Saccharomyces cerevisiae S288C: one gene and its partners. The gene in region 1 interacts genetically with each later gene. Each region holds a gene or a part of one and is shown in the gene's direction. Other genes may lie near its edges. The genes, in order: CDC11, VHS1, MOT3 and NAP1.

Region 1 (3,886 bases):
AGTGACAGCGTCAGCCCATAGAGAAAAAAAATAAAAAAAGGCCGCTACCGATATGTTTTCATTACGACAATTAAGCAGCACAAGTGTCTGGCGCAATGCCTGACTACTGGGAAAAGTCGAAGCATTTGCACGGCGTCCATTACGATGGTTAAGGCAGTTTACGACGAATTGCGGAGTCAAGTTTTAATATTTATAGATAGCCCTGTCACCAGTATCGGGTGTTGTTTCTACCCAAGCGCCTGCCAGCCTCAAACAATACAACAGGTATTGTTTTTGGACAGCGGAATGCTGCGATGCAACAGTATCGCAGCATGGTACTGCTTTCCTCTAGTCTTTTGTCGAATGTGAGCAAGCAGCAGCTGAGACTCTGCCCAACCATCGTTAGCCAATCAGCGTCGAGAACGGGTCCCATGCCCGGCCGCGGCCCGTTTCGAGAAGATTTTTAAGTGCGATCCATCCTCCCGATCTTTTTATCTACAAGAACCATCGCAAAGAACAGAGTGATCTGCAAGAAGAAGAACTACAAAGATCAAAAAGTCTCATCTCACCATGTCTGTGTCTGCTGCTCCTGCTATTCCACAGTACTCTGTCTCTGACTACATGAAATTCGCCCTAGCCGGCGCCATAGGGTGCGGGTCGACTCACTCCAGTATGGTCCCGATCGATGTCGTTAAGACGAGAATCCAACTGGAACCTACCGTGTACAACAAGGGTATGGTCGGCTCTTTCAAGCAAATCATCGCCGGAGAAGGTGCTGGTGCGTTGTTGACCGGGTTTGGTCCTACTTTGTTGGGTTACTCTATCCAAGGTGCCTTCAAGTTCGGTGGTTACGAAGTGTTCAAGAAGTTCTTCATTGACAACTTGGGTTACGATACCGCCTCTCGCTACAAGAACTCTGTTTACATGGGTTCTGCTGCCATGGCCGAATTCTTGGCAGACATTGCCTTGTGTCCCCTAGAAGCCACTAGAATCAGATTGGTCTCCCAACCACAGTTCGCTAATGGACTCGTCGGAGGGTTTTCCAGAATTTTGAAAGAAGAAGGTATCGGCTCTTTCTACAGTGGGTTCACTCCAATTTTGTTCAAGCAAATTCCTTACAACATTGCTAAATTCTTGGTCTTTGAACGTGCCTCCGAGTTCTACTACGGGTTCGCCGGTCCAAAAGAAAAATTGTCCTCTACTTCCACTACTTTGTTGAATTTGCTTTCCGGTTTGACTGCTGGTTTGGCCGCTGCCATTGTTTCCCAGCCAGCAGACACTCTGTTGTCCAAGGTCAACAAGACTAAGAAGGCTCCTGGCCAATCCACAGTCGGTTTGTTGGCTCAGTTGGCCAAACAGTTAGGATTTTTCGGTTCCTTTGCTGGGTTGCCTACTCGTTTGGTCATGGTTGGTACCTTGACCTCCTTGCAATTTGGTATTTATGGTTCTTTAAAGAGCACTTTGGGTTGCCCACCAACCATTGAAATTGGTGGTGGTGGTCATTAGAAATGGTCTTGATTGATACATGCATATATATTCTCTCCTCATCACCACCGGAGCCCCTTTTTTTTTTCATATTCTAAGAAAGAGTCAACAAAGGAAAGAAATAAATAAATCTGTTTAAATGTACTCTATTCAATCACTAGTATTCTTATTCCATGTATTTACTGACTTTGCAAAAGTCCAAATATCTGTAAATTAACATGCTATTATAAATATATATATATATATATATTTGAATTTTCTATTTTTTCATCTACAAAAGCAGGTTATAGCTCCGTTAAACCCTTTGCTCATTGAATTGTCCTTCACGGTTTTTTGGTGGAAAACACAACATGGAACATAACATTTAAACATCGTTCTCAATCCATTTCATCGCAGTAACATATTTGGTCGGGCACATACGGACACGTATATGTTATACAGATAAATATAGCTTAAATATGGCTATATTTACACAACACAATGCTCGTGGGTCGTTACCCGACCATGCAGGATCGCCAGTATTCTTTATTTTTCCGCCTTCTAACATAAAGAAAAATAAACAAAAAAGTATTTGATCGAAAAGTAAAATAGGTAGACACCACGTATTGGCGACCCGATCTGGAGCCGTTTAGAAAGTCAATCATCACAAGGCCTAAAGTTGCTAACCACCAGCCATGTCCGGAATAATTGACGCATCTTCTGCATTAAGAAAAAGAAAGCATTTGAAAAGAGGTATAACCTTCACTGTGATGATCGTGGGCCAGTCCGGATCTGGTAGATCGACTTTTATAAATACTTTGTGCGGTCAGCAAGTTGTAGACACTTCGACGACAATCTTGTTACCCACAGATACGTCCACAGAAATAGACTTACAATTGAGAGAGGAGACGGTCGAATTAGAAGATGATGAAGGTGTCAAGATTCAACTTAATATCATCGATACTCCGGGATTCGGTGATTCTCTCGACAATTCTCCATCTTTCGAAATCATTTCCGACTACATTCGCCACCAATATGATGAAATCTTATTGGAAGAAAGTCGTGTGAGAAGAAACCCAAGATTTAAGGACGGCAGAGTTCATTGTTGTCTTTACTTAATCAACCCAACTGGCCACGGTTTAAAAGAGATTGATGTGGAATTCATCAGACAGTTGGGATCCTTAGTTAACATCATCCCTGTGATCAGCAAATCAGATTCCTTGACAAGAGATGAACTGAAACTGAATAAAAAATTGATCATGGAGGATATCGACAGATGGAACTTGCCAATTTATAATTTCCCTTTCGATGAAGATGAAATATCAGACGAAGATTACGAAACCAATATGTACCTACGTACACTTCTACCTTTTGCTATTATTGGATCCAATGAAGTTTACGAAATGGGCGGCGATGTTGGGACAATTCGTGGCAGAAAGTATCCATGGGGCATACTGGACGTGGAAGATTCATCGATCTCTGATTTTGTTATCTTAAGGAATGCGTTATTGATCTCTCATTTACATGACTTGAAAAACTACACACATGAGATATTATATGAAAGATATAGAACCGAGGCATTATCAGGTGAATCTGTCGCGGCAGAATCCATACGTCCAAATCTGACAAAATTGAATGGTTCGTCGTCATCGTCCACCACAACAAGGAGAAACACAAATCCCTTCAAGCAAAGTAATAATATTAATAACGATGTTCTCAACCCAGCATCCGATATGCACGGGCAAAGCACTGGCGAAAATAACGAAACCTACATGACACGTGAGGAGCAAATACGGTTAGAAGAAGAGCGACTAAAGGCATTTGAGGAGAGAGTTCAGCAAGAACTGCTGTTGAAAAGACAAGAACTGTTGCAAAGAGAAAAGGAATTAAGAGAAATTGAAGCCAGGTTGGAAAAAGAGGCGAAAATCAAACAGGAAGAATGAGTCCGCTTTTGGCTTCCTCACTTATTTCTTCTTTCTCTATATATATAAAGAGTGAGTGTTGTATATAAGTAAATACATCTGGTATATTATTTTTTTTTTTTCTTCATTCTTAAAAAGTATTAATATCGATCAGCAAAAAAAAATTAACAAAAAAGTTCCTTATTATATCTGCGTAGAAGTACTTATTTCTGCTCCACCTTTGGAGTATTTTTCCAAAATTGTGATGCCAAATGAGTAATGAAATAGAATTTCTTGTGTGGATCGTCATTATCGATTTGGTTTGGACAGTTAAAGGAGAATTTTGGAAAGACCAGAACATCACTTAGCAATTTTGGTTGATTTAGGTTATGGAATAATTTCCATGTAACCTTCTCCCTGACACCACTTCTCATAAAGTCATTGAAATACGTGAAAATAGTGTCAGTCCACAACCCAGAACCCGTCCAACTCATAATATTCAGATCATTCCTTAGATTGACGTTTAGTTGGTCGTCCCTCTT
Region 2 (8,406 bases), on another chromosome or scaffold:
GTATGCATGAAGTGAACACTAATAATAAAAAAGGAGACGTTGGATCTCTCTTGAATACGTACAATGATACTGTTATAGAGACTTTGAAGAGAGTTTTTATAGCGATGAATAGAGATGATTTACTTCAAGAAGTGAAGCCAGGCATGGACCTGAAAAGATTTAAAGGAGAATTTTCGTTTTGATATGGTTCTCCGCAATTTTATGTTCTCGCATCACTGCCCAAATTCATTAGCATTAGCAGTACAAGCTATCCTATATATAAGGCAATAAAAAATCTTATAAATACTATCAGCAAGATTTCAACCTTGGAAAACATGCATTCAAAGGTCATAATTGCTGCTCTATTTACAGTCGTCCATAATGACATTTCTCTTTGATTATTTTCTTGTTTTTTCGCTCTTCTCAAGTGGATGTTACATAACAAACAAAACAGAAAAAATTGTTTAAATATAAAGTTTAAAAGTTATCTTTGATTCCGCACCTGAATTTTTGGATTGAAGGCCAAAGGAGGTTTATCAGGGAGAGAAAAGCTCTCTATTTATTTTTATAAGGAATAATTGTGCATGTACAACTATACAATATGTCTAGTGTACCTTATAATTCCCAACTTCCTATATCCAACCATCTAGAGTACGATGAAGATGAAAAGAAGAGCAGAGGCTCAAAACTAGGCCTGAAATATAAAATGATATACTGGAGGAAAACTTTATGCAGTTCGCTAGCGAGATGGAGAAAGCTAATACTATTAATATCTTTAGCTTTGTTTTTATTCATATGGATAAGCGATTCCACCATAAGCAGAAATCCATCTACCACAAGTTTTCAAGGCCAAAATAGTAACGATAATAAGTTGAGTAATACTGGTTCTAGCATCAACTCCAAAAGATATGTACCACCATATTCTAAGAGATCAAGATGGTCGTTTTGGAATCAAGATCCTAGGATTGTCATTATATTAGCGGCAAACGAAGGTGGTGGTGTATTGAGGTGGAAAAATGAGCAAGAATGGGCTATCGAAGGCATATCAATAGAAAATAAGAAGGCCTATGCGAAGAGACATGGATATGCGTTGACTATCAAGGATTTGACAACGTCCAAAAGATACTCTCACGAATACAGAGAGGGTTGGCAAAAAGTAGATATATTGAGACAGACGTTCAGGGAGTTTCCTAATGCAGAATGGTTCTGGTGGTTGGACCTGGATACTATGATAATGGAGCCTTCTAAATCATTAGAAGAACATATTTTCGACAGATTGGAAACTCTGGCTGACAGAGAATTGAAAAGTTTTAATCCCCTAAACCTAAGAGACGACATACCCTATGTCGATTATTCAGAGGAAATGGAGTTTCTAATAACACAAGATTGTGGAGGCTTCAATTTGGGCTCATTTCTGATAAAAAATAGCGAATGGTCTAAGCTGCTTCTAGATATGTGGTGGGACCCCGTTCTGTATGAACAAAAACATATGGTTTGGGAACATAGAGAACAAGATGCGTTAGAGGCATTATATGAAAACGAACCGTGGATTCGTTCGAGAATAGGATTTTTGCCCTTAAGAACGATCAATGCATTCCCACCGGGAGCATGCTCTGAATACAGTGGTGACTCAAGATACTTTTACAGTGAGAAAGACCATGATTTTGTTGTGAATATGGCCGGATGCAATTTTGGCAGAGATTGCTGGGGCGAGATGCAGTACTACACCACTTTAATGGAAAAACTGAATAGGAAATGGTACACGAGATTTTTCTTCCCATAAAATGGAAGTTATCAATATTGTAAAGAGAAGCATTTACAAGCTTTTATTTTTCTTTTTAATTTCCACTACTGGTTCTGCTTTAAAATGTTGTTTTATAATTTATGTACATTTAGGCCTATAGAAGATTCTTTCAATAATATGCTACACATTCTTTTATTTTTCCATCATATGTTGGAGTTTATGCCTCCTCGGCAGGAGTTGGGCGGTGCGAAGAGAAGAAAAAGAGTGAAACTAAAAAAAGGAATCTGCCTTTGCATAAGTTCAAAAGTGCAATTTTAGTGTTGGATTTAAACGGGAAAAATTGAAATGGCCATCGAAACAATACTTGTAATAAACAAATCAGGCGGACTAATCTATCAGCGGAATTTTACCAACGACGAACAGAAATTGAACAGCAATGAATACTTAATTCTTGCTAGTACACTGCACGGTGTATTCGCCATCGCGAGCCAGCTGACTCCGAAGGCATTACAGCTAACTCAACAAACGAACATCGAAAATACCATCCCATATATACCTTACGTGGGCATGTCCAGCAATAGGAGCGATACAAGAAATGGAGGTGGCAATAACAACAAACACACTAATAATGAAAAACTGGGCAGTTTTAAAGGAGATGATTTTTTCAAAGAACCATTTACGAACTGGAACAAGAGCGGATTGAGACAACTATGCACGGATCAGTTCACGATGTTCATATATCAGACCCTAACCGGCCTGAAGTTTGTCGCTATCAGCTCCAGCGTCATGCCCCAGAGACAGCCAACTATAGCCACCACCGACAAGCCTGACCGACCCAAGAGTACATCCAATTTGGCCATCCAAATAGCCGACAACTTCCTAAGGAAGGTTTACTGTTTGTATAGTGACTACGTCATGAAAGACCCATCTTACTCAATGGAAATGCCTATAAGATCTAACCTGTTCGACGAAAAAGTCAAAAAAATGGTAGAAAACCTACAATAGACGCACGCGCCATCGGAAGATAAACGCATTCACACCAAGAAAATAAATACTACGTACTTCTAGAACTAAGAAGAAGTTGCCGCTCTCCGTCTCCTCCTTCATAAATAGGGATAGCTTTTACTACTACGTACGAAAAAAGACCACACTGCGACGGATCCTCTGCATCCCAACACCAGCGATAGAAAATGCGCCGCCTATATCGTCATCTTGCTTCCTTTTTCTTACTCCCTTCCTGCCCTGGAAACACCATACAATCCATCACATCATATCCTGCCAATGCACTATTACGCAGCTTTCGGCACGTGAGTACGGAAACACCAGTTCGGAACCGGGTACACAATAGGGATAGTCAAAGCTGTCCATTTTTTCCGCTGATGGATGACTGATACCAAAGTGTAACCCAAAAGGGGTAGTCGATCCTACTTTTACCAGTTACGTTAAAGGGACCAAAACGTGGGGAAGGGATGCCGCCACCACCACCGCCACTACCCCCGCCAACATGGCCTAACTTAGCAGTCCTCGCTTGTGTATCTAGGTCCGCGTCCGCTAATTCGCGCGGCTTGCCACTTAACCCCGTCCAGTTAATTTGCCAAGCAGCGGCCGCACGTTGGAACGTTTTCGCCGATTTATTTATTATTATTTATACATGTTGACGTTGGTGCCCTTTTGTTTATACTGGAGCCTAAAACGTACCTCAATTAAATTTAGTGTGCCATATTATAGTGCTATTAAACCTTTATTTTTATTTTTAATTTTAAAACTGCTTTGGTTCTCTCCCTCCCTTACCGTTGCCACCTTAAGACTCACTGATATTTATTCATACTTACAAGTGCTATAAGAAAAGACTTGATTTATTAGCTTTACAGCGTTTTTACATTTGTGTCACTGCTATTATATTTTTGTTTACCTCTTTTTGTTGCTGGTGTTGGCGCTACCATTGTTTTTTTGTTTTATGAGTTACGTTTACAAAAGTTCTTAACATTTACTGTACGATAATATACTAAGGTGAAATACTAAAGTAAAATAAAATAAGAGAAAGAAAAAAAAAAAAAAAAGAAAAAAGTAATGATGATGTTCCATAATTGCAGAATTAATAACTACTTAATAACTTCTCAAATTGGCGAAGGCGCGTACGGTCTGGTTTACCGTGCCTTAGATATTCGTACCGATAGACAATACGCTATCAAAGCGGTTGTTCAAAGTTACGGTGTTAGCAAGGAGGCTGATATGGGCAATGATAAAATACACAAAAATAGCGTGAAATTGCAAAAGAAGCTCGCTAAACTGTTCAAGGAATCGAAAAACGTTGTCAGGGTGCCCTCTATAGATCTAGAATCAATTGAGAATATGTCAGAAGAAGATTTTAAAAAGCTGCCCCATTATAAAGAGATTTCGCTACACCTAAGAGTCCACCATCATAAGAACATTGTCACCATACATGAGGTGCTACAATCTGCAGTCTGCACGTTCATTGTCATGGATTATTACCCAACAGACCTATTCACGTCTATTGTAGATAACAGACATTTTGTCACTAATGGACTGCTAGTAAAAAAGGTTTTTCTACAGATCTGTTCTGCTCTTAATTATTGCCATGAGCACGGCATCTACCACTGTGACATCAAGCCTGAAAACTTGCTACTGGATACAGAAGATAACGTTTTCCTATGCGATTTTGGTCTATCCACTACTTCCACATATATAAAGCCAAATGTTTGCATTGGTAGCTCGTATTATATGCCCCCTGAAAGAATCTCATTTGATGGGAGAGTTTCCAGCTCTAAAAGTGGGGGACATAAGTTGGGTAAGGTTTGTCCCTCATGTAATGGCGATTTGTGGTCATTAGGTATCATCCTTATCAATTTGACATGCATCAGAAATCCCTGGCTGAAGGCTGACAAAACCGAGGATAATACCTACTATTATTTCACTAAGGATCCCAATATACTAAAGCAAATCCTACCGCTTTCCGATGACTTTTACTCATTATTATCTAAGATTTTACAAGTGAATCCGAAGAATAGAATGAGCTTGCAAGAGTTGATGAAAGAAGTTAGTTCTATTACAAGCTTCACCAATGAAGGCCCGTTATCAAAAGTGCCGCCTCTTTCCAAGTCTGTTTATGAAAAGTTCGTTAGCCCCGTCGATAACACGAATGAGAATTTGTCTCCAAAATCCTACGTGTACATGCACGATAGTAAAGCTGCCAAGAATTTATCTTATACATCTTCAAGTGAGGAAGAAGATGGAATCAAAGAAGGGATAGACGATGATAATGGCAGTCGCAGTGGCAGTTTCGGAACGCTAGACACAGACACTGGATTGCATTCTTCGTTCACAAGCACTTCTTGCGAGTCCGATAACGAATGTTCTAAGATTTCCAACAAATTTTCCTTGTTCGAAAAAAAATTCAACGAACTTCGCATGAGTTCCTCTTCTTTAACTAACTAACCCCCTCCTTTTTGGCACAAAAGTGTACTACACATCTGTTTTAAGCCCACAATTGATAGACCTTCTCTTGATGATCATCTGTTTTCCCGAAAATATTACTTGCCAAAGCAAGTTGTAGTTATATTCACACTTCCGTTATGACCCCCTCATCCGTTTAATGTTATTTGTTTTTATGGTATTCCCTTTATTCATTTTTTTTCTTGCTTTTTTTTGTTGATCCCTGTAACCCCTTTTTTTTTTTTGGAAGTTGCTATTATTATTCATTCACATTTGTTCTGTCTTTGTTAATTTTCCAGGTCACCGTATTTAATTTCTATATAACTGTTTCTAATATTTACTTCGTTTTATCCAAGCGTTATTTACTCAATATTCAAAACTTTACTTTTTACCACCTGTATAACATCTTTTTCAATTTGATAAAACGTTTTGAAATCTAAGGGAACAATGTCACAGTCAGTTTCGTCGTTGATGTCTGGTAACTCCAGATCCCTGAATTGAGACTCCATCATATCAGCTTTCATGAAATGACCCTTCCTTGTTTTGAGCCTTTTCAGAACTTCTATTTTACTTGCATACAAAAAGATAAAATGGAACTCCGATTCAGGGCATGTGTGCCTAATCAAATCTCTGTATTTCTTCTTCAAGCTCGAGCAAGCAACAATTGACAAATGCTCCTTAGTGCTTGCTGCAGCTTTTGTAGATTCTACGGCAACTTTTTTCAACCAGTCCCAACGGTCGTCGTCATTTAATGGAATCCCTCTTGTCATCTTTTCTACGTTGGCAGGCGGGTGTAAATCATCACCTTCGATGAATTTCAAATCCGGGTATATATCTTTAAATTCATGGATTAGTTCACCTGCAATGGTTGATTTTCCTGTACCTGCAGTACCTGCCAATACAATAACCTTAAATTTCCCCATAGTTTTGTGTTTCTCTGTCATCAACTGCGTTGTCCATCCATACGCTTACTGAGACACTATGAAAGCCTGTTTAGTCTTCGGAAAGCTATTTATTGCTTGCTACTTGAAAACCTTTTGATTATCGATATTTTTTAACGGGACCTTATATAATTATTGCTTGGAAACTAACGGTGTTATAATTTTTGACAAACTAATTAGCGACGTAATGAAAGCAGAAAAACCGCAAGAATATGAGAAAGGGAAAATATCAAAGAAAACAAAATATATTCCTTATATAACACCATCTTTTGTACATAAATGAATTGGCAAGCACATATTGTGCATGCATGCAAGGGGCAGAATCTTAATACTAAGTAATTTAATTATGCAAACATAACCCCGTATTGAGGCCTTCCGCCGCATTTAACGACCAAATCTATGAGTTTTAAATCAGACACCCGCCTTAACAGGTCCCATATAGTGCTATCAGATAAAAGTTCGTTTTCTGTCAATGATGGATTGTAATAATATTTCAGGATAAATTTCTCTATGAGCTGTAATCTTGATCTATTCTGCAAAAAAAACTCAAAGTTCAGACTCCCTAGTGAATCAGCATACGTGAAATATAATAAAAATATTACAGTCGTAAGGGGTTCAATAGACGCTAGTTTTTGCACTGTAGATCCAGAGACGTATAGGATTAAATCTATTGATTCAAATAGAGAAACAAAGGTAAACTTAGGGCTTAGGTCAGTTCCTTGCATATCAATACCTTGAAAAAACCATTCTATAAAAGGGGATATCACATCATATGGATTCTTCAAAGTAAAATGATTACCTAGAGACTTCACACATTCCCTACGTGTTAAAAAAATATGCATATTGTTGTAAAAGTTTTTAGGGAAGTCTTCTTTCGATGTATCTTCAGTGTTCATTGAACACAAGTCTAGCTCTTTAGATGTATCAAAATCGCCATTCTGCATATCTTGATAGTGCTTTCTGGGAAGAAAATGAGAAATATTTTTCAACAGGATAGGATGATGATCTAGTAGTAGTCTAAAAAAAGTTTCATGCTCAAATAATGTAGGGATCACAATATTTCTTGAATAAGCTTTTATATTACTTACGCCAAACTCCAGGGGATCGAAAAGATATTTTTCCCACATGATCTTCGATAATAATGAAAAAGATGGCTTCAAGCAACTATAGAAGAACCTGTTCAAGGTGACCATCGACGGTTCACCCTTTGTGAAAACGAAAATATGTTGAATAATCTCTACAGGTAAATCTTGCAAAGTTAGCTTTTGATGATGCCTAAGTTTCTTCGCAGGAAGCCTGATAGTCCTTTGATCTTCCGATATTGGCCTCTTGGATGAAACCCGGGTCTCTAAGAGATGCACATGGTGCTGCAAGTTTATCGAAGACGATGCATACCGATGCAAAGGAAGTGCATGTTTCTTTCTCTTATCATGACGGCTAGAATATCCTGTCAAAATATAACCCATGGCCACTTATTCTAAAAATACACTGCGTGAAAAAAGCACTGCTTACTTTAACAACATTAGTCCTCTTTAAATATATTTCATTACTCATCGCAAACTGAACAATTCTTGATGCTTAATTCTTACTAGCTGCAAAAAAGACAAGATGAAACGCGGTGTATGGTTGGACGATATAGTCTTATCCTAAATACACACAACATATATTGCGTAATAAAGAGATCTTCCTATCTATAGCACAATTTGAAGTTGAAAAGGCGTATCTAAAATGCTAATACTAAACAAGGCATCATGTTTTTGTCCCATTCACGTAGCACTGGCGATTTGCTTCCATATTCTTCTGTGTACAATAATAGCTTGGGTGGCTTTTTTCACAATGGGCTCTACGCGAAATTGTCGCAGCCCCCTGTTGGCCGTGCTGTGGGCCATTCTCGAGACTAGAATGAAACAGAAATCTACAAACATGAAAAGGTAGAGTAAAGTCGAGTAAGTAGTAGAAAAGAAAAGTGATATTGGCATACACGATAGCGAAGTTGTTCATATCTATTATCACCAGGCCATTCATTAAAAACTTACCGCTAAATTGAAAAAGAGGCGACTGCCAACATACTTGCCCTTTTTTTTTTCGCTATTATTAGTGTCCTTTGATTACAAACTACATCCATTCGAAAAGCTTGTAACCAACACTAAAGTCTGTGATTCTACCCAAATATTTGCTCTCCGTCATTTCTATTCTGTTTGAACTACTGTGCATATATTTTTCTTTTTGTTTCCTACATTTTATTCCCGGCATATCTCGCGATAGGTATATTGAATAATGACATCTGCA
Region 3 (3,797 bases), on another chromosome or scaffold:
TGCGCGCGCGCCATTAAAAGATTTTTTTCTTAGCTCTTTTTCTTTTTTCTTTTTCTTTCCACTGAGATGCGTTCTTCGGTATATAGTGAGAACACTTACAACTGTATACGAACATCGAAGGAGCACCTAACAGAAAGAAGGAGGGTCGCCATGGCGCCAATGTTCCAACATTTCTTAAACTTATGCGTGGAAAAATTTCCTGAATCCATCGAGCACAAGGATACAGATGGAAACGGTAACTTCACCACCGCTATTTTAGAAAGGGAGATTATCTACATCCCCGAAGATGACACTGACAGTATTGACAGCGTTGACAGCCTCAAGTGTATAAACTACAAGCTGCACAAATCTCGCGGCGACCAAGTGCTGGACGCCTGTGTGCAATTGATAGACAAGCACCTGGGCGCCAAGTATCGCCGGGCCTCGCGCATTATGTACGGCAACAGGAAACCATGGAAGGCAAACAAACTCGCAGAGATGAAAAGCGCCGGCCTTGTGTATGTCTGTTACTGGGACAACGGCGTGCTAGGTGCATTTACTTCATTCATGCTTACAGAGGAGACGGGTCTCGTCGAAGGTGACGCTTTACACGAGGTTAGCGTGCCCGTGATATACCTTTACGAAGTACATGTAGCTAGCGCGCACCGCGGGCATGGAATCGGTCGGCGGCTACTGGAGCATGCACTGTGCGATGGCGTAGCTCGACACACCCGCCGCATGTGCGACAATTTCTTCGGTGTAGCACTCACCGTATTCAGTGATAACACTCGGGCCCGGCGACTATATGAGGCGCTTGGGTTCTACCGCGCTCCGGGATCACCCGCACCAGCATCACCCACAATTCGTCACACGCGACATGGTGGGGGACGTGTAGTCGTGCCCTGCGATCCGCTTTATTACGTATATTGCCTTCACATGCCGTGAAAGCCGACAGGGACAACGCGCGATAAAAAAAAAATTAAAAGTAAAACTACGTACGCGGCGGCGCGACTCGAATCCTTGACTCCGACTGAGGAGACCCGAACAACGCTCCCTGCTCTCCGCCTTCGGCGCCTTCCGATAACTGCGCACGGCAAGGAGTAGTGGCGATAACGGTGTTTATTGCCGGTTTTTTCGTTTTTCTTCTTGATTTTCTTCTTTTTTTTCCTCAAAAGATGTGCTGTAGCCTCCGCTGTTGTTTTTTTTTATCCTACCAAGGCGCATCATCCTGTCATGATCTGCGCTGGATAGTATTTATACTACTACTCCGTCTGGATTTACTAAACTTTGTCTCTCTTTTGATGTAAAGTTAAAGAAGAATTACGAAAAAAGAGAGAAAAAATAGAAACAAATAATAGGAATTAAGGCCTTGTAGCAATCAAAAAAAAAAAGAAAAAAAAGGAATTTTTTTTGGAAGAAAACTTGAACAAAACAATTCCTCAAGAAGGAACAGGTACAAGAAAAGATTTAACAGAAGGAAAACTAATAGGCAACAGTAGGCAAATAGTAAAGGGACATATCATATTTGAGCAATGAATGCGGACCATCACCTGCAACAGCAGCAGCAACAGCGACAACAGCATCAACAACAACAGCATCAACAACAACAGCATCAGCATCAGCATCAACAGCAGCAGCACACGATATTACAAAATGTGTCGAACACTAACAATATCGGCAGCGATTCGCTGGCGTCACAGCCTTTCAACACGACTACTGTTTCCTCTAACAAGGACGACGTTATGGTGAACTCTGGGGCAAGAGAACTTCCAATGCCCTTACATCAGCAGCAGTATATATACCCTTACTATCAGTATACAAGTAATAACAGTAACAACAATAATGTGACGGCTGGTAACAATATGTCTGCGTCGCCGATTGTCCATAACAACAGCAACAACAGCAACAACAGCAATATTTCTGCTTCTGATTACACTGTCGCAAACAACAGTACTAGCAATAATAACAATAATAATAATAATAACAACAATAATAACAATAATATTCACCCAAACCAGTTTACTGCGGCCGCAAATATGAACTCAAATGCTGCAGCGGCTGCTTATTACTCCTTCCCCACTGCGAATATGCCAATACCGCAACAGGATCAACAATATATGTTCAATCCTGCTTCATACATAAGCCATTACTATTCAGCAGTTAACAGCAATAACAATGGTAATAACGCCGCTAACAATGGCAGCAACAACTCTTCTCACTCAGCCCCAGCCCCGGCCCCCGGTCCACCCCATCACCATCACCATCATAGTAATACACACAACAACCTCAACAATGGTGGTGCTGTAAATACAAACAACGCTCCTCAGCACCATCCAACGATAATAACGGATCAATTTCAATTCCAACTACAACAAAACCCTTCTCCAAATTTGAATCTCAATATTAACCCGGCACAACCTCTGCATCTACCTCCTGGTTGGAAAATAAACACTATGCCGCAACCACGTCCTACGACAGCACCTAACCATCCCCCTGCGCCGGTGCCTTCTTCGAACCCTGTGGCCTCGAACTTGGTTCCTGCCCCATCATCAGACCATAAATATATCCATCAATGCCAATTTTGTGAGAAGTCTTTCAAAAGAAAATCATGGTTGAAAAGGCACCTATTGTCACACTCGCAACAAAGACATTTTCTATGCCCTTGGTGCTTAAGCAGGCAGAAGAGAAAAGATAATCTTTTACAGCATATGAAACTCAAGCATACAAATTATTTATTAGACGAACTCAAGAAAAACAACATCATCTTTAACTACAACAATTCTTCCTCCTCTAATAATAACAACGACAATAATAATAATAATAACAGCAATAGCGCTAGCGGCAGTGGCGGTGCCGGTGCCGCGGCGGCAGCAGCAACAGCTCCCGAAAATGAAGATGGAAACGGTTACGATACAAACATCAAGACTTTAATCAATGATGGTGTACTGAATAAGGACGACGTTAAACGTGTTTTGAATAACCTTATTGTTAGTCACAACAAATAGATAGACTTTATAGACACACAAAATATCCCTTCCCACTCATTTAACAATCAAGATAATAGTAATAATCACAAATTTAGAAAGTAATTATGCATATATACATTATATACATATAGTTTATGTATGGTACGGAACTGATTACAACATCTCTCTAACAACGGCCTCGTGAGGGAAATCGTCATCTGTAGGATTTTTGATAATGTTCGTATTCTGGAACTCTTGGTGTTTAGTATATGCTACCGCATAACTGATTGACGATATCGTTAGCCCGACAGCTACCACAATTAGACTCGTAGCCATCACTGCAATGGAAATATACTGGATTATCGCCATTGCTAGATAGAAAAGACATCTCCATCCATTTGTTTCAAATCTCTTGATGAATTCAATGAAATTATCGCTAAGGGGACAGATTTTCAACAAAAATGGTATTTCAATGAATAGGATCACTAACCCTTGGATTATACTAATGATACCAAAAGCTATCACCCCACTAACGTGGAACAGATTCGCTATCCCGAGTGCAATACACAAGATTATGTTGATATATCCAAACCATCTACCATATACGCTAAAGTTGAAACTTTTCAAATCCTTCACCATACCACCCACATTGATGAACTGTCCTAAACTTAAAGCCATTATTGAAAACTAGTATATTTTAGTTGTTATTGCTCTTCTCCTGGTGACCTACAATCCCACTTCACTAGTAGGGGAATTCTGGATCTTTACTTCGCTGATATAGCACCTTTTTTCTTTTTTTTTTTTCTTTTGCCTTTTTTACGAGCCACAGACTTTCCTCCTTTACCCTACTAT
Region 4 (7,929 bases), on another chromosome or scaffold:
AACTTACCCTTAGCTTTCATATCTTGTAAACGATCAATTTGTTCCAGTTTGTCACTTGGCAGCATGATGGCACGATCCAAAGTGTATGGTAAACCTCTATTTCTTCCTCTTATTAGCATGGCAATTATGACTAGCTTCGATAATACGGTGAACTGGGCAGATAGTGATGTGTTGGTGTTTGGGTAACCCAATGACAAACCCACTGTACCATAAGCGCTAACAACTTCAAACAATATAGCAAAGACATTGAAATCAGGTTTATTAACGTCTTCGATTTTTCTGCCCTCGCATATGCATATTATAAATAATCCAAGGAATAGGTACCATAAATCAAAAGAGAGTTGCCTCCTCAAATGAGCACCAACAAACGATTTTGGGGACTGTTTCTTCGGCTTGGACTTTGTAGATACAGTGTCTCGCTCTTCGGATTCGCCATCATGGTCTGTTTCCTTTATATCGTCTTCGTGGGTGATATTTTCGTCATCTTGTCCACTATCGTATAGTCCCAACGATTGCTCCTCATAAACATTCGTTCTTCTAATGGAAATCGCCAGCGGCAGGACCGAAACGTACATCATTAGCATATAAGACACCTGAATGGACGGGTGTAATTTACTTAAGTCAACAACGTTGAATCCAGCAGTTCTTGTGCATACAGACTGGAAGAGGCCCATGAGAGCTCGATAACCTTTAGCAACCTGCCTTACTACAGCGGAGTTGAAATCCAGAATTATGAAAAGAATCCAATCCGTAGCGTTTAAGACGACTAAAGTTGTAAACAGCCACCATGTGGGGCCGCTGGGGAACAGCAACGTAAAACACCTGCGCGGATGATCCAAGAGAAACCCAAGACTTTCCTTAAACTGAGATAGGTCTCTCGAGGTCTTGAACATGATCCAAATGATAAATCGTAACATAATTGGGAAGCCTGTATTGCCTATGATGATGAAGAACATCATGAAAATCAGCGGATACGGCGCAGTATCAAAGGAAACCATTGAATCAGCGGTCAAAGACAGACCCAAGTTGCTGAATGCACTCATTGCAGTGAAAAACCCCCACCAGGTTGGAGAAACTCCATTTCGTCTAATAATCTCTGAGTAGTGGTGCCTCGTACAGGCCCATGGAACGATGGTCACAAACGCCAAAATGTTGAATCCGATGTAGTATACCATGAGAATGCAGCACAGCAATCTCAAAGCACGATATTCGACACCGCCGAGTTCCTCCTTTTGTTGCTTTGTGAGTCCAATGAAGACGGAGTTTCTGCCAAAGGTTGGCTGCCACGATAGATAGTTGGTGCTCATTGTTCTGGTGAAGGGGTGGCCTATATCACCTTCACGTCGTTTTGGTTTGGGCGGGTGCGCTTGGAACTGTAAATTCAAAGACTCTTGCGGTGAAAAGCTCATCTCCTCATCAACAAAAGATGAAGGCGCCGACTTGGCCAAGTTTCTATGATTTTCAACTACTTGGCCTGAGGTTTTAGGACTCGGTGAAGCAGTATACGTTGGGATGTTACATGATTGCGTTCTAGATATTTTTTTCTTCTTGGTGACCATATATTTGTGAGGAGCACCGTCAAAGTAGTCATGGTCACCTTCATCTCTCCGCAAGCCAAGCAATTTCTGGAAACTTTTCGTCTGGGCTAGCTTGTTCAATTCCTGAGAAGATGGCAGGACAGAATGGCGTTTCAGTGAGCAGTGGGGGGCTCTTCTCTCATGACGTTCCTGCACAATGAAAGCGGGTCCATTGGTCTCGCTCGAAAAAGAATCCGTGGAGTTTGCGTTGCTCTTCTCTTGTTGTTTTTGTAGCATCATTATCGATTTGTAAATGTCTCTTGGGTCAACGTCTGAGGGTTGGCGCTTACTTGAGAAGTTTGGAGGCGAGCTTTGCGTGTCACTGGATTCCTCCTTAGAGGAGGAAACATTCAACGGTGAGATTGAGGACAATGCGGACGTGTCAGGAGAGTCCATCGGCACATCTGAAGCGGATTGTCGTGGGTCTTCTCTGGAAACAAACTTCCCACGGAACAGGTTGTCCTTGAAACTCCTACTTCGAGCGGCATTGCCACTGCTGCCCGATAGTTCCCTTTGTTGCAACGTCATGGTCCTTCTTAGTTTAAAATTCTGTTTGGAGATATCCCTAATGTTGTCGAAGTACCTTTCAAACCAATACAGCCTGACAAAGGCCAAAAACCCATGAATAAGTATAGGCGTGGACAGCAATGTAATGACGTACACCACTATCTGCTGGTACAGGTTGAAATCGTTAGTGCTCTTGGTGGCCAGCCCGCCCTGTGTAGACGCTCCAGCAGCCAGAAATAGCACATCGATGAACGCCGTGTTCTTGCACGGATATAACAGAATGGACCCGATAATCGACAGCGTGATCAGGTAGATATAGTGCACCACGATGAAGTTGGGGAAAACGTATTTAGCAATGGGTCTGCATGATTTTAAGAACCCGGAAATGAAGTCTCTTAGCCGATGGCCCCATGATTTCTTGTGCACCAACCGTAACTGGAAGGGCAGTGCCAACGAAGCCCTGGATGACGTCCTCTTAGCTGTTGGCATGAGTGGTTCTTACAGCCTCTTATCGTCGGTGAATAGTACAAAATAGCCTCTTTTCTCATCATCTGAAACCTAGTTATTCCAATATCATTTCTCTTTTTCAGCCGCACGGCCGAGGGGATTAGAAACGAAAATTCACATCTCATCCTATTCTTCGCAGGAGATCAAAAGTGAAAGAGAGAAACGGGAAACAACCATCTGAGCATGGCAGCTTGCATCAAATTATCAATCATCGTGTGATGTACCATGGCCTATTCAACGGCGGTACGCTTGTACTACAGGGCGCTTTCAGCGCATGCCGGGCACTCCCTTCTTTCTTCCGTCGTCTTGCATCTCTCTAATCCCGTCGCTATGCTCTGATATAACCGTTGCCAAAGTGTCAAGCTGTTGTGAAATTGTGCTGGAGGCATTGATGGTTCTTGAACTCTTCCTCTTTTTAGTCTGGCTTTAGCTTGATTGGGCACGGGCACTCAATGGACGGGGTATCCACCCAGCTTGGAAAGGGGCATATAAAACCAAAAGAGAACGTTAAGAAAAGTGCAAATGAAAATAACAGACCGGGAGATCGCAAACGCAAACGCAATAAATGTCGTTTTGGAAAACATTGCAGAGACAGCCACGTACCATCTCGTTGTTTACCAATGACATCGCGTCCAATATCAAGTCGCAGAAATGCCTGCAGTTGCTGAAGGGAGACGTCTCTCATCGATTCGACGTGGAAATCGCCAACCGCTTTCCCACGTGGGACCAGCTGCAATACATGAGAACTTCGTGCCCGCAAGGCCCAGTTTCGTTGCAAAGGCAGATTCCAAAGCTGGATTCAGTGCTCAAATACAAGCACACAGACCCGACGTTCGGGATGGACCTGCAGAAGTGTGTCCAGAGGGGACTTTGGAATCCAAAGGAGGCGCTTTGGGTCGACTGGGAAAACAAGTTGGTGGGAAATGAGCCCGCAGACATTGACAAGTACATCATTCAGCGCAAATAACACCTATATACCACTATATTGAACACATACATATTTTTATAACAATGGGCTATATCTTTTTTGTATTACCCGCGTAATTGGGAAAATTTTTCCTTTTAAATAGCAGCGTTTGGGATCAAAAATGGCAGTTTGATGGTAGATTAGGAGGATTTAGTGAGCCCAGTGGGACCAAGAGCAAAGCGCAAGATCATGTCAGACCCTATCAGAACGAAACCCAAGTCGTCGATGCAAATCGACAACGCCCCTACGCCTCACAATACCCCAGCATCGGTTCTGAATCCGAGCTATTTGAAAAACGGCAACCCAGTTAGGGCCCAGGCACAGGAGCAGGATGACAAGATCGGCACCATCAACGAGGAGGACATCTTGGCTAACCAACCCCTGTTGTTACAGTCCATCCAGGACAGACTTGGCTCGCTGGTGGGCCAGGACAGCGGGTATGTGGGGGGTCTTCCCAAGAACGTTAAGGAAAAGCTGCTGAGCTTGAAGACTTTACAAAGCGAGCTATTCGAAGTTGAAAAGGAATTTCAGGTGGAGATGTTTGAGCTAGAGAACAAGTTTCTGCAGAAGTACAAGCCCATTTGGGAGCAGCGGTCCAGGATCATTTCAGGACAAGAGCAACCCAAGCCGGAACAGATCGCAAAGGGCCAAGAGATTGTGGAGTCACTCAATGAGACGGAGTTGTTGGTGGACGAAGAAGAGAAGGCCCAAAATGATTCCGAGGAGGAACAGGTGAAGGGAATTCCCTCATTCTGGCTAACCGCATTAGAGAACTTGCCCATCGTTTGCGACACGATCACTGACCGCGATGCGGAAGTTCTGGAGTACCTGCAAGATATTGGTCTGGAATACTTGACGGATGGTAGACCCGGTTTCAAGCTGTTGTTCAGATTTGATTCTTCCGCCAACCCATTCTTCACCAACGACATTCTGTGCAAGACCTACTTCTACCAGAAGGAGCTCGGTTACTCCGGGGACTTTATCTACGACCACGCAGAAGGCTGCGAGATCAGTTGGAAGGACAACGCCCACAACGTCACTGTGGACCTAGAAATGCGCAAGCAGAGAAACAAGACCACCAAGCAGGTGAGGACCATCGAGAAGATCACTCCCATAGAATCCTTTTTCAACTTCTTCGACCCTCCCAAGATCCAAAACGAAGACCAAGACGAGGAGTTGGAGGAAGACCTCGAGGAACGTCTAGCTTTAGACTACTCCATCGGGGAACAACTTAAGGACAAGCTAATTCCTAGAGCCGTGGACTGGTTTACCGGCGCAGCCTTGGAATTCGAGTTCGAGGAGGACGAAGAAGAAGCGGACGAGGACGAAGACGAAGAAGAAGATGATGATCACGGCTTGGAGGATGACGACGGGGAATCTGCCGAAGAGCAAGACGATTTTGCTGGCAGGCCGGAACAGGCTCCTGAATGCAAGCAGTCATAATCCCAACGCACTTCGCAAGAGTGGTCATAACCGTATTCATATATTTATATACATATGTATACATACATATATAGATATATATATGTATATACATGTAAGTGTGTAAGCTGAAATATATGTTAAAGCGCATGTAACTAAGACGACAATAATAATAATAATAATGATAATAATAGCCTAGATTTTCTCCGCCGTGGGGGATGATCGTATTCTTTCGGATTTAATAATATAGCAGCAAGGGTTATAAAAGGAAAGATAACGGAATGTATCGGTAATCATTAACCATCACTCACTCTCCAGAACCGTAGCGTAATTATGTCTGAATCATCTATTTCTTCTTCTAAACCATCTGTGGAATTGCCACAAGCAACCTGGTCGCATCTGCAAAGATACCCAGCTTTATCCAAGTTTATTAAATATGCGGAATCTCTGCCACCTGTGGAGAGATTGATTTCCTTCAACCTCGTTGTTTTGGGATCTGTGAACCAGTGGGTTTCCGAATCGTCCAGCTCTCCTCGTCTGGTGAAGCAAGTTGTTGCTGCTGGGAAGGAAGGGGCCTTCAAGTTGGACGAGTTAGTTAACCTCTTGGTGTTCAAGGAGGGTGTCGACGGCTTGCTGTACAATTGGAAATCACATTCCAACACGCCAGGGATCTGGCTGGTGTGGTTCTTCGTCGACTACGTCGCCAACATTTCTAATACTCTGTTGAGGGAGTTCCTGATCAAGCCATTGCACTTGCAAGGTTCTACCGCATCGAAGGAGATCGGCTCTTCCGGTGAGGAGAACAAGGTCACTGATGCTTCTTCTTTGCCCCACGTGGCAGAGTTGTCTTCAACGACCAGAGGTATGTCGCAGGAGATCCAGTCCAAGGTCAAGTCGAACTATATCGACCCAACCAAGGACCTGGCTAAAGAAAAGTACGACGCCATAGTGAAGCCCACAACTGACAAGTTGCAGTCTGTGTACATCGACCCAACAAAGACTAAGCTTAACGAAACCTACCAACGCTTCACCACTGTCTATGAAAACAATCTAAGTAAATCTGAAAGCGTCCCTAAAGCCATTGTATCCACCGGGTTGGACTTGGGCAATGCCACCATTGAGAAGCTAAAGGCCTCAAGAGAAGACCAAACCAATTCTAAGCCCGCGGCTGTGTCGACCAATTAGTAATTTGGTTTTGCGCTAATCGTGCGCCTGATTTTTTTTCCTGCCACTCTTATATAGTTATTTGTTATTATTCTATTATTTCATCTATTGTTTGCTAGCTATTATGTACGTTGCTGTTTGAGCACTATATACAATTGAATACCAAAGAAAAAATTATAAAAACGAAAAAAAAAAAAAAAAAAAAAAATTTGGTTATAGCTCGATCAAGAGACAATAAAAGTGAATATACATGGTGCCAAGGGAAAGTCCTAGCATGTCAAACAGTCATCATACATCCCAGGGAAGAAGAAACAAACTTTCAGTGTGGGTTAAAAAAATAATAAACACCACTACCACAACTAACGCATCGGTCTCGAGCAGTAAACCAAGACGCGGCACTAGGGCTGGCCCCACAAGAGTTAAGCGTGCTGAGTTGGATCCGGATGGAACAACCATCAGTTCGTCGTTGCGACCATTGGTTGATCGAAATTCGTTGCATTCGAGCGAATCCGATGACGAAGGAGACCGTCGAGTGGCATGGGATGAACCACCAACAGGCAAAGTAAGACAGCAGCAGCAGCAACAGCAGCAACAACAAAACGACAACGCAAGTGTTATTCCGCTAGTATCGTTTTGTTCCTCGTCAGTGAAGTCGTCTACTTTCTCGGACATTCATTCAATACAGTCTACGAGGCCCACAATATTCTCTAACAGGACGTTTGAGACGAATTCTAGCGTTCTGGCCATCCCACCACAGAGTATATTGGATCGATCAAGAACCCTCCCGCCGTCGAACGCAAGTAACACTACCACAAGAAGACCGTGAATTGGCTACCTAAGATGAACGTCCTATATTGTATTATTTGTGTATGTATGTATGTGCGTGCCTATGCAATGCTACATGGGCAATAGCCCCACAGAATGCGAGCCTGCCCTTTTTCTTCTGGATCTAATTTTTTTGAACCTTCTTTGGAAAACTCTTATGCAAGCAGAAAAAAGATAAATGCCCATGATCAATAGCAAAATCTCGCTATAATGCCATATGGTCAGCACGACCTTGAACAACCGAGAGTGAGGATTGTTTGAAGTTTTCTGTTCAGCTGACTGTGACCCAGTCTTGATGTTTGGTTGAGCTTTGATCATTTTCCATTTGGTGAACTCATCGGGTTCCCTGTCAAGGACCTCGCCAAATTCCTGCTCCAGGAATAGCTCAGCTTCCTTTGCGTAATCATAGGTGTCCTCAATGGACGCATCCATGTCGTTCCAATGGAATTCGCTAGTGGATACGTCCAGCAGCTCCACTGTCTCCGTTAATTGGCCATTTAATGCGCTACAGCCAATGTATCTTTGCCCCGTGTGCATGTTTTTCGGCAAGTACAGATTTTCGGTTGTTTGAAATAACTCAATCCAGTAGTTTCCCTCTTTTGCGTACTGCACGTCGATCTTCAGGAAGCTTATACTTTCCAAATATATTATTCTTAGTTTCGTGACTCGATTCCACAGGGCATTTTTCTTGAGTTTTATGTGGCCTCTTGAATTAAGCCGCAGCGATGTACTGAGTTCACCATCACTATTTATATCGTACCAATCGCTTTCTGGGGCCACATTTATAAACACATCCATAAAGGGTACCTCCTTATGGTCGTGGCCTTGGTTGCGATACGTATCCAAGACAATAAATAGGCCAGGCAGATTTTTCGGGAAGCCCATCAGATCTGTATTATCGGCTATGACGCCCTGAGAATTCATCATGTATTGCTTTTTCGCATACGACGACTGTAAATT

Evidence for each region.
Region 2: mutations in CDC11 (region 1) and VHS1 together harm fitness more than expected from each alone (negative genetic interaction), as found in Saccharomyces cerevisiae (3 studies listed by BioGRID).
Region 3: mutations in CDC11 (region 1) and MOT3 together harm fitness more than expected from each alone (negative genetic interaction), as found in Saccharomyces cerevisiae (3 studies listed by BioGRID).
Region 4: mutations in CDC11 (region 1) and NAP1 together harm fitness more than expected from each alone (negative genetic interaction), as found in Saccharomyces cerevisiae (3 studies listed by BioGRID).

The regions. Positions count from the first base shown.
Region 1 is NC_001142.9:574,854-578,739, reverse strand, and holds CDC11 (septin CDC11), read left to right. Parts: upstream 1-2,138; coding exon 2,139-3,386; downstream 3,387-3,886. Other genes in the region: MIR1 (Mir1p), read left to right, coding at 550-1,485; HOC1 (alpha-1,6-mannosyltransferase), read right to left, coding at 3,569-3,886. UniProt on the Saccharomyces cerevisiae protein: Septins are GTPases involved in cytokinesis that assemble early in the cell cycle as a patch at the incipient bud site and form a ring approximate 15 minutes before bud emergence, which transforms into an hour-glass shaped collar of cortical filaments that spans both sides of the mother-bud neck.
Region 2 is NC_001136.10:952,220-960,625, forward strand, and holds VHS1 (putative serine/threonine protein kinase VHS1), read left to right. Parts: upstream 1-3,793; coding exon 3,794-5,179; downstream 5,180-8,406. Other genes in the region: PEX5 (Pex5p), read left to right, coding at 1-182; MNN10 (alpha-1,6-mannosyltransferase), read left to right, coding at 581-1,762; TRAPP subunit TRS23, read left to right, coding at 2,069-2,728; YDR246W-A (uncharacterized protein), read left to right, coding at 2,914-3,114; YDR248C (gluconokinase), read right to left, coding at 5,539-6,120; YDR249C (uncharacterized protein), read right to left, coding at 6,462-7,583; PAM1 (Pam1p), read left to right, coding at 8,395-8,406. UniProt on the Saccharomyces cerevisiae protein: Probable serine/threonine protein kinase involved in the G1-S transition.
Region 3 is NC_001145.3:407,643-411,439, forward strand, and holds MOT3 (Mot3p), read left to right. Parts: upstream 1-1,511; coding exon 1,512-2,984; downstream 2,985-3,797. Other genes in the region: NAT4 (N-terminal L-serine N(alpha)-acetyltransferase NatD), read left to right, coding at 67-924; TVP18 (Tvp18p), read right to left, coding at 3,120-3,623. UniProt on the Saccharomyces cerevisiae protein: Transcription factor that affects the expression of a large set of genes. Recognizes and binds to the consensus sequence 5'-[CAT]AGG[TC]A-3' in the promoter region. Plays a major role in the repression of a specific subset of hypoxic genes (e.g.
Region 4 is NC_001143.9:522,459-530,387, reverse strand, and holds NAP1 (histone chaperone NAP1), read left to right. Parts: upstream 1-3,747; coding exon 3,748-5,001; downstream 5,002-7,929. Other genes in the region: TRK2 (Trk2p), read right to left, coding at 1-2,573; FMP46 (putative redox protein), read left to right, coding at 3,157-3,558; PLN1 (Pln1p), read left to right, coding at 5,314-6,165; YKR045C (uncharacterized protein), read left to right, coding at 6,419-6,970; UIP5 (Uip5p), read right to left, coding at 7,042-7,929. UniProt on the Saccharomyces cerevisiae protein: Acidic protein, which assembles histones into an octamer (in vitro). Involved in the regulation of the localization and the function of the septins during mitosis. Involved in the function of B-type cyclins.